2 linked regions of the Arabidopsis thaliana genome follow. The protein of the gene in region 2 interacts with the protein of the main gene of each other region in a biochemical or structural test. Each region holds a gene or a part of one and is shown on either strand. Other genes may lie near its edges.

The links. The genes of interacting proteins can lie anywhere in the genome.
Region 1: of the proteins of NP1 (region 2) and SUC1, one has a biochemical effect on the other in vitro, tested with the Arabidopsis thaliana proteins (one study listed by BioGRID).

Annotation. Positions count from the first base shown.
Region 1 is NC_003070.9:27,050,968-27,058,124, reverse strand, and holds SUC1 (sucrose-proton symporter 1), read right to left. Parts: upstream 4,096-7,157; 5' UTR 3,792-4,095; coding exon 2,532-3,791; intron 2,446-2,531; coding exon 2,382-2,445; intron 2,243-2,381; coding exon 2,025-2,242; 3' UTR 1,661-2,024; downstream 1-1,660. UniProt on the Arabidopsis thaliana protein: Responsible for the transport of sucrose into the cell, with the concomitant uptake of protons (symport system). This transport is both voltage- and energy-dependent.
Region 2 is NC_003070.9:2,888,069-2,896,963, forward strand, and holds NP1 (NPK1-related protein kinase 1), read left to right. Parts: upstream 1-2,952; 5' UTR 2,953-3,042; coding exon 3,043-3,339; intron 3,340-3,455; coding exon 3,456-3,497; intron 3,498-3,593; coding exon 3,594-3,659; intron 3,660-3,759; coding exon 3,760-3,870; intron 3,871-3,949; coding exon 3,950-4,030; intron 4,031-4,113; coding exon 4,114-4,191; intron 4,192-4,331; coding exon 4,332-4,414; intron 4,415-4,555; coding exon 4,556-4,637; intron 4,638-4,718; coding exon 4,719-4,819; intron 4,820-4,930; coding exon 4,931-4,970; intron 4,971-5,054; coding exon 5,055-5,114; intron 5,115-5,198; coding exon 5,199-5,248; intron 5,249-5,346; coding exon 5,347-5,566; intron 5,567-5,682; coding exon 5,683-5,853; intron 5,854-5,946; coding exon 5,947-6,299; coding exon of another isoform or gene 6,300-6,327; intron 6,328-6,561; coding exon 6,562-6,632; intron 6,633-6,824; coding exon 6,825-6,919; 3' UTR 6,920-7,114; downstream 7,115-8,895. Other genes in the region: PGSIP5 (plant glycogenin-like starch initiation protein 5), read left to right, coding at 685-1,432, 1,570-2,036, 2,200-2,685; AT1G09010 (glycoside hydrolase family 2 protein), read right to left, coding at 7,191-7,925, 8,078-8,305, 8,473-8,895. UniProt on the Arabidopsis thaliana protein: May be involved in an oxidative stress-mediated signaling cascade that phosphorylates downstream MAP kinases MPK3 and MPK6. May suppress auxin signaling that promotes cell cycle.

The DNA of each region.
Region 1 (7,157 bases), about 24 Mb from region 2:
GTAATTTGAATTAATCAAATATCAAATTAATTAAGTTTAACAAATTTTATTTAATGTCTATTTTTTGAAGTCATATTAAGTAATTTATTTACCTAAATAAAAATAAAGTAAAGTAATTCAACTTTTCCCCCATCTAATTCAAAAAGAAGTGCCATAAAAAGGACTTATTTTCTCTAGTGTGATCTTCTGGGTCTTTCTTGTTAACAAAAGAAGACTTTAGTTACACACAATGTTTACTGAAGGCCAAAAACAAAAACCAATTCTATTTCAAATTAAAGTCAGTAAGAAGACTAAAAGAAGGGTGAAATAGACGGTCCAAGGTTTATTAGATTTTACCTTTTCATTTATTTGGGTTTTGCACAATAATACTGTATTTGTCTATTTGATGAATTTCATGAAAAGGGAACATAGAAAATTAATGGAATCCAAGGTGACACTGTCACACTACTATCATTTGTAGTATCACAATTGCCAAACTTAAAACTCCTTAAAAAAAGTCATGTACAAAATCTTATTTACCCTCATTTTTCAAATAATTAAATGACATAATTTAAAAACCTTAATTATTTACAAAATCCAAATATATATATCAATATTTCAAAACCTCTAGTTGAATAAGAGGTTTCAATCATTTGTGGTAAATTGCATAAGAGGTAATGAAAGGATGATATGATTGTATCCTTAACATTAAATTGTGAGGCTGAATTTGTTATTTTAACACAAATCATTTAAAATGTTTAATTGAATACACACTCCGAATGTATTATAAAGTAGGATTATTGCCTATCAAAAATCTTGCCTCGGTTTACAAAAAAAATAATCAAAAATCAAAAGACTGGGCTGATACACCTTAGTCTTAAAAGGAGTATTGATCCAGGCCAAATTATAGAAGGCTTCAAGTCTGTCCAAATTGAAAGTTGTATTTTGATGTATCTATTATATTTATTTAGCCCAAAGGCCTTCATTTATGTTACGCCAGCCTTGTTTTGATCGTTTGCAACTTAACACAATAGACTGTCCTTTGTTGATTCGATGTGTTCTGAAATCAACATACTTGCCAAAGTTGCCAATTAACGAAGTCGTGACAACTGAGTCCGAATTGTATAAAATGGATATGGACTACCTGTTCTTACTCACTAATTAAGCAGTATAAACATTCTTATATTTTAGGCAAATATTCTAAAAATTGGTGGAAAAAACTTATATATAGATATGTAAAATGTTGTATCGCCACTGAGGGTTCAAGCCCGCATATTGTTGACCAAAACAATCTTTCATTTTGTAATATAAAAAATGATATACTTATAAATGATATTGTATGATCTTCAAAAACATTGGTTGTTGCCTAGTATAAATCATCAAGTTGTTAAGTGTCATACTGTGCTAAGAAACATACTGTATAGTTTATATTATAATACAGTGTGTTTATAGAATACAAAAATGTCATATTGATTGGACTAGTTGTTTGCAAGAATATTTAAGGTTTCTTATTTAATATTTAATATTTTAATATCTTCTAGGTTTATATTTTATGTACTTACATGAGAATTGTTTTAATATTTATTAATAAGTATTTTTAAAATTATTAATCATATTAATTAATTTAACTGGTATTATTAATGGTTATTTATCGCCTAAACCGTTCTAAACTACATAAATTGTTCAACTTGTTCCCTATATATAAAAGAATTGCCATACATTATTATCAAAATTTTCTTTTCTGAGGGTAGAGGGAATTACTTTCTAGTTGGATATTTGTTCTACCGAAGCAAACAGTAAACAATTGTACTCAACACACAAATCTTATTTAAGGGCAAAAAAAAAAAACATTCTATTTCAAATTAAAATAAGTGACAAAAGTTATAAAAAAAGAAGAAAAAAAACTAAAAAAGGGTGAAATACAGACGACCCAAGGTTTATTAGATTTTATCATTTTATCCATTCTTTTCTTTTATTTGGGTTTTTGCAGTTTCGCACAGTAATACTGTATTTGATGAGTTTCATTAAAAAAAAAAAATAGTAAACTAGTGGAATCCTCCCATGGTCGTTGCCTTGGGTGCGTCCGGTGGTGGTGAAGGTAAAACGGTTAACGCTAATACTCCACTAATCGCCGCTGCAATTGCTGCAACGATAAACGCCGGTAAGTTTCCACCGCCGAACAAGGCGTCGAAAGGTCCACCTCCTAGTGAGACTATCATTTGTGGTATCACAATCGCCAAATTTAAAACTCCTAATGAAAGTCCTGTAAATCAAAACATCACAAAAACAATTTAAATACCTATGTTATAATTGCATAAGGTGGATGAAACCAAAATATAATAGTTACGGTCCCACATATTTGTAACTTTAGTAACTTTAATATTAAAGATGTATATATTTACCTTGGCCTGCACCGGAGCAGCTTGAGAATATGGATGCTAGAGCAAAAGGAGTACTGAAAGTAATCTGTAAATAATAAAAAACGAATCGATTAATGTTAGTTTAAGCAAAGCAAAAAGTTTTTTAACAAGACAACACAAAAGTGTACTTACAGCTAATGGGATACCAAGAACAGCAAAGAGACTTAAAGCTCCAGCTTTAACACTAGCGCTCGGTCCGGCTAAATCACCGGCGGTTTTCCGGTGATCCTCGGCGAATTTCGTAACGAGAACCGTCATGGCCAAACCAGCGGCTAGGATGAAATTGACAATACCCCAAAGCCGTTTAGCTCCTCCTAATTTCCGACCAATCCATTCAACACCAAGTGACATGAAACCAAGAACTATAGAGTTAAACATCAATCCCATTGCACCAGATTGGACTCCAAGACTGTATAGTTTCTTCGATCGTTCATTTCCATCTGAATCTCCACCGAACACTTCACGACCCATCCAATCAGTATCGAACAAAAGAAATGGGAACCAAGCGATCCAGTTTAAGGCCGTGACGATTAGAAGCATCCACATGGGACGTTTCATGACTTTGAATGCTCCAAAGATTTCACCGAACAAAGGAACGCTTGAGGTCTTCTCGTCGTCGTCGGCATTTCGCGGCGGCGGAGACCATTGTTTGTCATTAACGTACCAAAGAGACGTGACGGTGACGATGAGGAGGAGAGTGATGGATAAGAAGAAACAAGTCTTGAGATTGGCGCAATAGATATCGCAAGCTTTTGTCATTGTGAACGGAAACATCTTGTGGAGGTTAGTGTACGAACCAGCCGCATAACCCAAAACGTTTCCAACCGCCATAAAAAAAGAGAAAAACGCGTTTGCGACTCGCGTTCTCTTAGCGTCACCGGCGGCTAAGTCGGCTAAGAAAGCACGGCAAGGTCCTTGTAAGGTGTTGTTGGCTACGTCGAGGATCCAGAACCCGAGAGCAAAGATCCCTATAGCTCGAACTTTAACCTTCTCCTCGAGTTTATCTCCCATTTTATAACCGAAATCCGCAGCGTAACCGATGAGGAAAACAGCGACGGCGACGAGTGCGGCTCCGGTGGCGATGAAAGGACGACGGCGACCAAATTTGGACCTACATCGGTCACTGTGGAAACCGACGATTGGTTGAACAATCATGCCGGAGACTGGACCACAGAGCCAAATGAGAGATGACCATTTGTGAGGGATTCCGAGGAGTTGAACGTACGGAGTAAGAAGAGAGAGCTGTAAGGCCCACCCGAACTGTACACCGGCGGCGATGGAAGCGACGGAGATGATTTTACGAAGCGGAGATGGTTGATCGAAATCTTCCGGCGACTGTGTCTCTAGAGCCGCCGCATCTTTAGTTGGTTTTTCTGTTTCATAGGCTCCCATTATCAGGAAGTAAAAAAAAAAACACGAATAGACAAAATAGAAACTTTAGAGGAAAAAAAAGAAAAGAAAATTTGTTTATTTTTCTTTTTCTTTTTTTTTTTGTTTTTTTCTGTCTTCTGTTTTTTTTTTTTAAGTGAGGTTTTTGTTTTGTGATGTAGGAGATGAGAGAATGGAGTTGTATTTATAGGCGAGGAAGAAGAAGAAATGAGAGTTTTATTTTGATTTTCTTATTACACTTGGAGATGATTATTTTTCGGATAAGAGACAGAGTTAGAAATTTTAATTGTGTGAGTGTATGGCAAGGTAGGGACACGTGTCAGTTAGAACATTAACTCTCCTGTTCTTTTGTGTTCTGTTTTTACGGGAATTTAATTGGTTTCGCTTTTTTCTTGCATCAAGTGACTTGGACGTTGATTCAATTTCTCTCTCACAGTTTTTTTTTAATAAAAAAAGTTCCGATATTCAGTACCGTTTTGTTTGGGTAAACAATAAAGTTTCTATGATTCCGATTGGGTAGACAAATTTAAACAGTGTGTATATTTATATGTACTATATCACATAAGTCACATCTGATTATCGGAGAACAATTATTTTGTTTGGTTTAAAATAAATAATTGTGAATTGTCCAAATCCCTAATTTATATGGTACTAAAAGAATGAAATATCTAGAAGATACTAAGAAATGTCTTTGATTTAAGATGGAAAAACGACTTATATGCACCCTCTATACTTAAAACTCACTAGTTCATAGCACCTAATGAGATAGATGGTTCAGGGCAACATATACACTATTCTTTTTCGGACAGTGAAGTTATATTCACGATCACCTACCATAATTAATTGGCTTATCTAGCGTAATAATAGTTGTAGATCAAATCATAACATATCCGGCTCCAATTACGGTCATGGATCAAGCATCGCCAAATATTCTCTGATCATGGATTATATTTCCGCAATATTCATAGTCTGGAGATTATCACAAAAAGATCCGAGTGGCCAAACACTTTCCAAAACTAATGCACACACATTCTTATCCGAACAGTCCCAAAGATGGTATGCTATCTTTCACGTCCATATATTTTAGAACCAAATGTTATCCTTGACGTCCAAGTCTTTCGACCCAACATCAGCTTTGTAAACATTAAATTAATTTTATCATTTTTGCATTGATCACAAACTACTGAAAAATCACTTAGTTTGTATGGTGAGTTTTTTTTTCGACGAAAAGATAGTATATTTTGGCAATGTTGTTAACTAGTGATGGACTGAAGGATATCAAATTTAATTTTTTAAAAAAAAAAACATTGTGACAACAAAATAACAAATATAGAAGCATTCAATTATATATATATATATATATAAAGGGAAAATAATCAGTATTTGTCCGCCACTAATTAGTTGTTAAATTGCCTAAAATCCAATATATATATTAAAGTTTACATATTAATTAGTTTCTGTCAAATATCCAAAATTAAGCGAATTGTGTAACGGAGTTATGTGACAGAAACTTTAACCCTAAAATTTGCTTCTTGTAATGCAAGATACGATCGCAACTCAAAACTCATTTCCCATTTATTTTGGATTGTTTATCCGACCAATTAAGCATTTTAATTTTAGTCACTACATTTTTGTCTTCGAGCTGAATAGTACTCTATATACATTTTCTCCAGTTTTCAACGGGCAGACGACTTGAAAATATATTAAAATAACCAAAGCATTTACTAGTATAACTCTTGGATTTTAGTTGTCTGTGAATTAGTCTCAAATGGCTCACATGTTTGTCAACTCCTTACGTTGTCTTTCTACTCCTCAAGTCTCAACTACTTGGACGTATGTTCCATTTGTTGTTAATTTTCACTGTAGTTTCAATTATCTCTCTATTCGCTTATTTTAACTATATGAATAGGTTGTGCAAACAATTTATTTTACCCGTCTATCTGATTAGTAACACTCCAACATATTGGTTGTGAACCGAAAACTTAACTGAAATAAAACCAAATTGGTTAAGCTGTGTTTTGGGAATCGATAAAATAAGGCAGGATTCAATGTTGATAGATATATTTGGATAGAGAAAATAACAGTCAAAAATAGGCCAATGAGAGAGGATATAACTTCCGATCAACCTAAATATATAGTAATACTATCATATTAAAAAAACATTTTGCCCAAAAATAAATAAAAATAATCATATTAAAAAAAGATTATTAGTGTTTATAGTAGACACAAAGAAGAAGAAGCTATTCTTCACATAAGAAAAGAAAAGCAACGTATATTTCGAGGGCGACTTTCTCTCTATTTTCGTTTGTTTTTTTTGAATGCCTTTCGGAAAACAAATCAATATTAGTGTAACCACAGAAGAATATATCTGAAAACATAATGTCAAAAGTTTATATGGTACATTACATAATTTCAAAATATTAATGACAGAAAAATATATACAAAATATTAAAGAAGAAGAAGAAGCAAGAGTAATTATTAAGGCCACCTAAATTATCTTTTGGAATTATAGAAATATCCATAGGATACGTACTCTTTTTCGTTTATATATAAATAATCAATCTTAATTCAAGATTCAATTAGGTAGATAACCAAATTCTGGAACTTAGTTAGGTGAATGACTATGAAATATTTTATCAGAAAATACCCTCAAATGGAGTACAAATATATATATATATATATATATATATATATATATATCTTTCTATATATATAGACATATCTTTCTATATGTGATATATGCATGAGAAATTAGTTACCAAAATATAAATCATTATAAATCACCAAATGTTATGTTATATGACCTTAGCCAAATATACAGCATTAAACATCATTAACAAGGTTCAAAACATTTGCATCACTTTTTGTAGCGTTTTTATTTATTTACTCATGACTCATTAAGTAAAAGAAAAATTACATCCACTTTATGAAATAAAATCAATGTATCCCGCAAAACAAAGTGGACACTAGATCAATGCAATTCATTTCCTTATAGTTTCAGGGACATGACAATAATACAGGTAACATGAATTATTAAAATTCAAAAGGTTTTGTCAAAATGAAATTATAATTTTTTTTCCCGAAATTATAGGGTCGGGGATCGGGACCCCAAGAGAGGATTATAGTTTGTTGTAGCCTAACGAGATCGTGGTTCGCCCCATCATTATGCACTCGTAGTTGAATATGACTCGGCAATGAGTATTTTTGCTTAATTTTCTTTTAAAGTTCAACTATTCACCATATTATTCTATGAGATTAGTCAACATATTAATCACTGGAAGATCCAATATTAATCATTTAGAACACTATAGAAGTGTAAAAGAGATCAATAAAAATAATGTAAAAGAAAAACAGAACGAAGAGAATGCT
Region 2 (8,895 bases):
TAAAAAAATTATCCAACGAAAAAACAAACAGCAGAATTTCAAGAGTCAAAAACTATAAAATAGTAATAATTTTTATGATAAAATTTGAAAGCAATTTTTGTTTGCTTCTACAACTTTTATAACTTTTATAATAATTAACCCAATAATCAGCTTGTATGGGCCATACCTGATCATCACCTTATAGCGATTGATATAGATTTATCAACCGACTAATTAACAATAAATAATTTAAAATGCGATTTGAATGATTTCGTCCACGTTAACGACAACAAATTCACGTAGCTATAGCCAACAAAATATGTTATAAAAGCATAAATGAACTACCAATGTTTGTTTAATGTTTGATATCGCTATTTAAAAACAAAACAATCACAAGCTTGGTCACCAATTTGATATATATCCGATACACCTGTACCTGTTGTTCAAACTAATTCTTAATTACAACACAAAACAGGCGCCTAACTTGCGCATGGAAGTTTATTACACAATTATTCGTAGACTCACCTAACGAATTGACTTCTACGCCAACGTGCGTCCATGCATCTCAAGATCCTTCTTCAATCATACACCCATGAATTCGCACATATACGTTGATGTATATGAGATTATGAAAAATTCACGTACACATTACATGTATCTTATAGACATCGCTAAGAGCATAGAGAGAGAGAGAGTTGGGGGAAAATGGGGGCCAAAAGCAAAAGTTCGAGTACGAGATTTTTTATGTTTTATCTTATACTAATATCATTGTCGTTTTTGGGTTTGCTCTTAAACTTTAAACCTCTGTTTCTGCTCAACCCCATGATCGCTTCTCCTTCGATAGTTGAGATTCGTTATTCTTTGCCGGAACCGGTTAAACGGACTCCGATATGGCTCCGACTCATTAGAAACTATCTTCCGGATGAGAAAAAGATCCGAGTGGGTCTTCTCAACATCGCAGAGAACGAGCGAGAGAGCTACGAGGCAAGCGGGACGTCGATCTTGGAGAATGTCCACGTGTCGCTCGATCCTCTTCCGAACAATCTGACATGGACGAGTTTATTCCCGGTTTGGATCGACGAGGATCACACGTGGCACATTCCTAGTTGTCCAGAAGTCCCTCTCCCTAAGATGGAAGGTTCCGAAGCTGACGTGGACGTCGTCGTTGTCAAAGTCCCGTGCGATGGTTTCTCGGAGAAGAGAGGGTTAAGAGACGTTTTCAGGCTACAGGTGAATCTGGCGGCAGCGAATCTTGTGGTGGAGAGTGGTCGGAGGAATGTTGATCGGACTGTGTACGTTGTCTTCATCGGATCTTGTGGGCCTATGCATGAGATCTTTAGGTGTGATGAGCGCGTGAAGCGCGTGGGGGACTATTGGGTCTATAGGCCTGATCTTACGAGGTTGAAGCAGAAGCTTCTCATGCCTCCTGGTTCATGTCAGATTGCTCCGCTAGGTAATTTTGGCTTTATTATTCATAGGTCAATATGTTTTCTTCATTTATTTATTTATTTATTGTCGCATGCATGATGACATAATGCATAGTTAAAAAATTCCAATGTTTCGCTAACTATTTCTTATTCGTTGTTAAAGGTCAAGGAGAAGCATGGATACAAGACAAGAACAGAAATCTCACATCCGAAAAAACTACATTATCATCATTTACTGCCCAACGTGTCGCTTACGTGACGTTACTACACTCATCGGAGGTATACGTATGCGGAGCAATAGCCTTAGCACAAAGCATAAGGCAATCTGGATCAACCAAGGACATGATTCTCCTCCACGATGACTCTATAACCAACATCTCTCTCATTGGCCTAAGCCTTGCTGGCTGGAAACTACGGCGAGTGGAGAGAATTCGTAGTCCTTTTTCCAAGAAGCGTTCTTACAATGAGTGGAACTACAGTAAGTTACGTGTGTGGCAAGTGACAGATTACGACAAACTAGTGTTTATAGACGCAGACTTCATCATCGTCAAGAATATTGATTACCTTTTCTCCTATCCTCAACTTTCTGCCGCTGGCAATAACAAAGTCTTGTTCAACTCAGGAGTCATGGTAATGCATCTAACTAACAAATATCTTTAACAATAGATTGTTTGATTTGAATATGTTGACTTTTTTAAGTTTCTAAAGATATTGCCTTATCAATCCATTTCTTACTATTTTATTTTATCGAATTTTCCATATGTTTTATATAAGAAAGTCTGGTTTTCTTCAGGTTCTGGAGCCATCAGCTTGTTTATTCGAGGATTTGATGCTTAAATCATTCAAGATCGGGTCATACAACGGGGGAGACCAAGGATTTCTGAACGAATATTTCGTGTGGTGGCATAGGTTATCAAAACGTTTAAATACGATGAAATACTTTGGTGATGAAAGCAGGCATGATAAAGCGCGCAATCTTCCAGAAAATTTAGAGGGCATACACTACTTGGGACTAAAACCATGGCGATGTTACAGAGACTACGATTGTAACTGGGACTTGAAAACGCGACGTGTGTATGCAAGCGAGTCGGTGCATGCGAGATGGTGGAAAGTGTACGACAAGATGCCTAAGAAGCTGAAAGGTTATTGTGGTTTGAATCTTAAGATGGAGAAGAACGTTGAGAAGTGGAGGAAAATGGCTAAGCTCAATGGTTTTCCTGAAAATCATTGGAAAATTAGAATAAAAGATCCTAGGAAGAAGAACCGTCTAAGTCAATGAGAAGAGTCATCAAACTCGCTTATTCAACAAGAGACTTAATTTTTTTTTTTTCTTTACGTAAAGATTTTGAAAGGGAATTTAATTTCTAACAGGTAATTGTGGATTATGAAGGAAAAACATTATACGTAGTTATGATATATATTTCGTTCGAGTGAAAGTATTTTTAGTTTTTTACAAAGACTAATAACCATACTTTTATTTGGAATAATAATATGCGTAATTTAAGTAAAGTAATTTTCTCTTTTCAAAAATATAATTTCGATGCCTTTTTTCCCTCTCACTCGTTAACACTTTTGTGCCGACCGATGAATCAAAATTAGAGTAACAGTGAAACGCATTCTTCCCTCAATCGTTCAAATGCAAGATTTCTTCGGCTCCGTTCGTCGATCGCTTGTTTTCCGTCCTTCTTCCGACGACGATAACCAGGAGAACCAGCCTCCGTTTCCCGGTGTTCTCGCCGATAAGATCACCTCTTGCATCCGCAAATCGAAGATTTTTATCAAACCCTCCTTCTCGCCTCCTCCTCCTGCTAACACTGTAGACATGGCACCTCCGATTTCGTGGAGGAAAGGTCAGTTAATTGGTCGCGGCGCGTTTGGTACGGTGTACATGGGTATGAATCTTGACTCCGGGGAGCTTCTCGCCGTCAAACAGGTAATTTAGGGTTTGTTTTTCTGATTGCTGTGGATTTGAAGCTAATTGGGACTTAATTTTGAATGACCTAATTCTCTGGCATGTGTACTGAACTTCAAAAGCTTTGTTCTACTCAGGTTCTGATTGCAGCCAATTTTGCTTCCAAGGAAAAGACTCAGGTTCATAAACAATCCATTTCATCGAGTTTTCCCTCTTTCAATTTCCATTGATTTTTGTACTTCATTGAGTTTGTTATCTGTGTTGGTGCTAAGTAGGCTCATATTCAGGAGCTTGAAGAAGAAGTTAAGCTTCTTAAAAATCTCTCCCATCCTAATATAGTTGTAAGTAACTGTTGGTATTGTCTCCTTCTCAATGCATACGGATTCAACACTTCCTTGTGTTATCTATCTAACTCAGGTATTTTTTATTTTCTGGCCTTAGAGATATTTGGGTACAGTGAGGGAAGATGATACCCTGAATATCCTTCTCGAGTTTGTTCCCGGTGGATCGATATCATCGCTCTTGGAGAAATTTGGACCTTTTCCTGAATCAGTAAGTCATGCTTGGATTTTTTTTTGTTCAATCTCTTACAATGTGTGCATTGCTTAAGTGGTGAGAACGATTGAATTAGGTTGTCCGGACATACACAAGGCAACTGCTTTTAGGGTTGGAGTACCTGCACAATCATGCAATTATGCACAGAGACATTAAGGTAACAATTTTTCTCCATACTTTATAAGTGCTTACAATCTCGAGTCCTTACCCATGAGACTATATGTTTCTATGTTTTCTCAGGGGGCTAATATCCTTGTGGATAATAAAGGATGCATTAAGCTTGCTGATTTTGGTGCATCCAAACAAGTAGCTGAGTTGGTAAGTCAAAAAATAATTTGTTTTCTACAAAGTATATTGCAGGAAGCATTCTGTTCTGTGTATTCTCTTATTTCTTAGTTGGTCTAGTATAACATATCCTTCAGAGTGATTTAATGTGATTGACTTGATTTCATCTCTAGGCTACGATGACTGGTGCAAAATCTATGAAAGGGACACCATATTGGATGGCTCCGGAAGTTATTCTTCAAACTGGACATAGCTTGTAAGAAACCAAGCGTGCTCGTAAATGCAAAATTAGATGTTTTGTAACTGATACTCATACAATTGTGGCTATTAATTGTAGTCCTGGTGACTTATGTCCCATATTTTTGATTTCTCACAAACCTGTGGCTATTGTTCTCAGCTCTGCTGACATATGGAGCGTCGGCTGTACAGTTATTGAAATGGTGACTGGGAAGGCTCCTTGGAGTCAGCAGTATAAAGAGGTAATTTGTTCGTATTTCTGGTGATATTTTTTCGTGAATAATTTTGCTTCTTAATTACAAGTGGACATACTTTCTTTTCAGGTTGCTGCTATCTTCTTCATAGGAACAACAAAATCACATCCTCCAATACCTGATACTCTCTCCTCTGATGCAAAAGATTTTCTGCTCAAGTGTCTGCAGGAGTAAGCTACTTTGCTTCAGCAACATTAGTTTGGAACTTTTAATAGTAACTTCCTTCACTACTATTGTGTCTTGTCTTTGGAATTGCTGAATCATTGGATCCGTCTTGACAGGGTACCAAATCTGCGGCCAACCGCATCTGAGCTACTAAAGGTGAAGTATAAATAGTTTGAGTGATGCCCGCAATATTAAATTGGAAAGGTTTGAGTAAAATTCCTGATTTTGTTTTATTCGCAGCATCCTTTTGTTATGGGGAAACACAAGGAGTCTGCTTCTACTGATCTTGGTTCTGTCCTGGTGGGTGGATGTTAACCGTCTTATGAATATCATATAACTTTTTCTTGAAGCCATCTTGATAAAATTATTTTTGTTATTTTCCAGAACAATCTTAGCACTCCACTACCGTTACAGATAAATAACACCAAGAGCACGTAAGTTCTGAATATCTGGCTGAAACCAAAATTTCTAAGATTATTTTGTGGGTTTATGAAAGATTTTGATGGTTTATTGTCTGTTTCCTTTGTTTCAGTCCAGATTCTACTTGCGACGATGTAGGTGACATGTGTAACTTTGGCAGTTTGAATTATTCACTTGTAGATCCTGTGAAATCAATCCAAAACAAAAATTTATGGCAACAAAATGATAATGGAGGTGATGAAGACGATATGTGTTTGATAGATGATGAGAATTTCTTGACATTTGACGGAGAAATGAGTTCTACCCTTGAAAAAGATTGTCATCTGAAGAAGGTAGCATACATATGATTTCTCATTTAGAATTCCAATGGCTGATCAAGTCTCAACTCTTGTTTGGATCATGTTTCAATTTGTTTTGTAAGCATTACTTATAAAATCTATGTGTACAGAGCTGTGATGACATAAGTGATATGTCCATTGCTTTGAAGTCCAAATTTGACGAAAGTCCTGGTAATGGAGAGAAAGAGTCTACAATGAGCATGGAATGTGACCAACCTTCATACTCAGAGGATGATGATGAGCTGACCGAGTCAAAAATTAAAGCTTTCTTAGATGAGAAGGTCCCTCATGCACATTATACTACATTATTCATTGTCCTCACTGCATTTTCTACGTAAATCACTAACATGGCAGTGAATATGTATTTGTCTCAGGCTGCAGATCTAAAGAAGTTACAGACTCCTCTCTATGAAGAATTCTACAATAGTTTGATCACATTCTCTCCCAGTTGTATGGAGAGTAATTTAAGTAACAGTAAAAGAGAGGACACTGCTCGTGGTTTCCTGAAACTGCCTCCAAAAAGCAGGTCACCGAGTCGGGGCCCTCTTGGTGGTTCACCTTCAAGAGCAACAGACGCAACTAGTTGTTCCAAGAGCCCAGGAAGTGGAGGTAGTCGTGAATTGAATATTAACAATGGAGGTGATGAAGCTTCACAGGATGGTGTATCAGCACGGGTCACAGACTGGAGGGGTCTCGTTGTTGACACTAAGCAGGAATTAAGCCAGTGGTTAGTGGCTGCGATAATTGGGATTTAAGTTTTAAGGATTTAGACATTTCCTTAATTTCCTCTTTTAGAAACTCGGTAGGAATCAAGAAGACAGAAATAAGTCCCATTCATGCTTATCTTAAGCTATGATCACCCAACTCCAAACGTGTAGAGTTTAAATTCAGCCTAGCTATTGACCAGCAACGATTTAAATCTGTCACTTAGTCTAGGCTTCTTGTTTCATTCCTGAATCTGCTTGAATTGGCTGGTTTTGGCTTTGCAGTGTTGCTTTGTCAGAGATAGAGAAGAAGTGGAAGGAAGAGCTTGATCAAGAACTGGAAAGAAAGCGACAAGGTATGTCACTCTTATTAATCTAGCAAAAAAATGTCAAAGATTCTCTTTAAGTTTTACATATTTAGAATTTAGAATTCGGCGCTTTGCATTGACCACTGTTAACATGCAATCATGTAATGTTGAGAAACATGACATTGTAGCATCCACTTTTTGTAAGCTTGGTAAGTTGACTTGTGGTTTATGTTATTGCAGAAATCATGCGCCAAGCAGGGTTGGGATCATCCCCAAGAGACAGAGGCATGAGCCGACAGAGAGAGAAGTCGAGGTTTGCATCACCAGGAAAATGACTTGCACAAAAAGTCTCCGGCTTTTTGATTTTTGATTGCTCAACTAGTATATATATCTGTAACTCTTATCTTGCTGTGATGAAAAGTAGACACGAGGTTTGGTCTGAATATATGATTCTGAACTGGTTGTTGAAGGTATTAGATGTGTGTAATGTGAGTGTCGGGTGCATATTTAAGTGCGCTACAAATTGCTAAAACCTGTGCAAGTTTCATTTATTGAAAGGTTCGAGATTACAGGCAGTTATGTAACAAACATGAAACATGAATAGTCTCAACCAAAAACACTAAACCTATCAGGGTAGTTCCAGCCCTGAAGCATAACACGAGGAGACTTCTTCATGCCTGTAGGAGCTGCAAATGAGATCTTAAAAGACATTGATTCACCTGGAACTAGTGAGAAATAGTTGTCTGAGTAGTGTACTGGTAGAATCCTCGTATCTTGTTTCTCTGTCTCTGCATTGTGAACTGAGAAACGAAGGAAGAAAGCAACTCCTGAATCCGATCCCTTCATTTCCACTACTTTCAAACCACGGTTGCTATCTGCAGAAACAACACATCTACTAAAGAGTTTCTGGAGCAACCCCAGATCACGTTTTTCGTCTTCCTGGACAACGTTTTTGGCTAAGTTAGCTCTAGATGTGTTATGAACATTGACCTCCAGCTCATATCTTGAACCCACCATAACTGCATTGCAAGTGATCTTGAGAGGTATTTGCTTCTTCCTGTACGGCTCCAAGAGTGTGTAATTTTTTCCAGGCAGATGCAGCCAGTAGAAGTTCCGGGATATAACTGCTTTGTCTGAGACAGTGTACAGTTTGAGAAGAAGGAAATATACATGCTTTGGGTTTGCTGCTTTCGGATACTTGAATTCCGATATTTTCACAACTTTCTTTGGTGGGGCAGAGACAATTTTAAACACTTTATAGTATGGGCAGTTCCCGTCTAGGTCCCATACTGATGCCTCTATTGCCACATCCGACAGCTCTTTAGAAGTCGTGTTTACAACCTGTGCGGGGGGTCAAAGGACATGATTCCATGTATTATTTACATAATTTATTAGACTTTTATACACTTCTTATTTAGATCAAGAATCTAATTTCGAGAGACCTTCGTACACAGTGATTGTCAGAGAGAGAGAGAGTAACTAATCACACTGACCTCAACAAAGTAACTTGCCAGGTTCAATTGTACATGGACTGGCTCTGCAGCGGAACGGCAGCCATAGAAACTGGCTGTTTGGTCGAGAAGATGATCGTAGAATTGACCTCTGAGACCAGTCCATGGATTTTGGTTCTTCCAGATCAAGACACCCGTGTACTTCGTCCACATTTGCGAACTCCAACCCTCGAATAGAGCTCTGTACTGAATGTAGTTTACCAGTTGAGCCTGTTACAGAGGAAAAACCAAGTCATAATATATCACTTATGATCTCAAGTTTCTTTTATTAATCGAACATAGACATTGCATTATTAAGTTAAGGGGAAAAGTAACATTTATGCACCAGGGTAAGACAACACCAGTAAAGGCTAAAACGGTTAAGATCCCAAATTTACCTTCAAGCAGAAGTCATCGAGATTCTCTGGAGTACCGTACATCAGAATCTGGTCATGCACTTTTCCAGGATTAGAATATGGAATGTACTTGTGATAATCCCACATTCGATTTGGCACTTCTTTAATAAACCCGTCCAAACCCTTTTTGAACAGAGGAATCGTCCAACCTTCTGGAGGCATTGTCGCTCTTATCGTCTCTGCAACTGGCATTCCAACCGAGCCGACCTCCGGATTGAACCCATACTTGTAATATGTGTCTTTAAAAAAATCTTCAGGGTATTGAATCTCATAAGGGCCGTCAGTGAAGTTCCCCTTTCCATCTGCAAAGCCGTCCCACATAGATCCTTGAATATAAACTCTAGTACCGTCAAGATAAACACTAGGATCTGAATCTTTGTCTGATAACAATTGGGTTTCAAAATA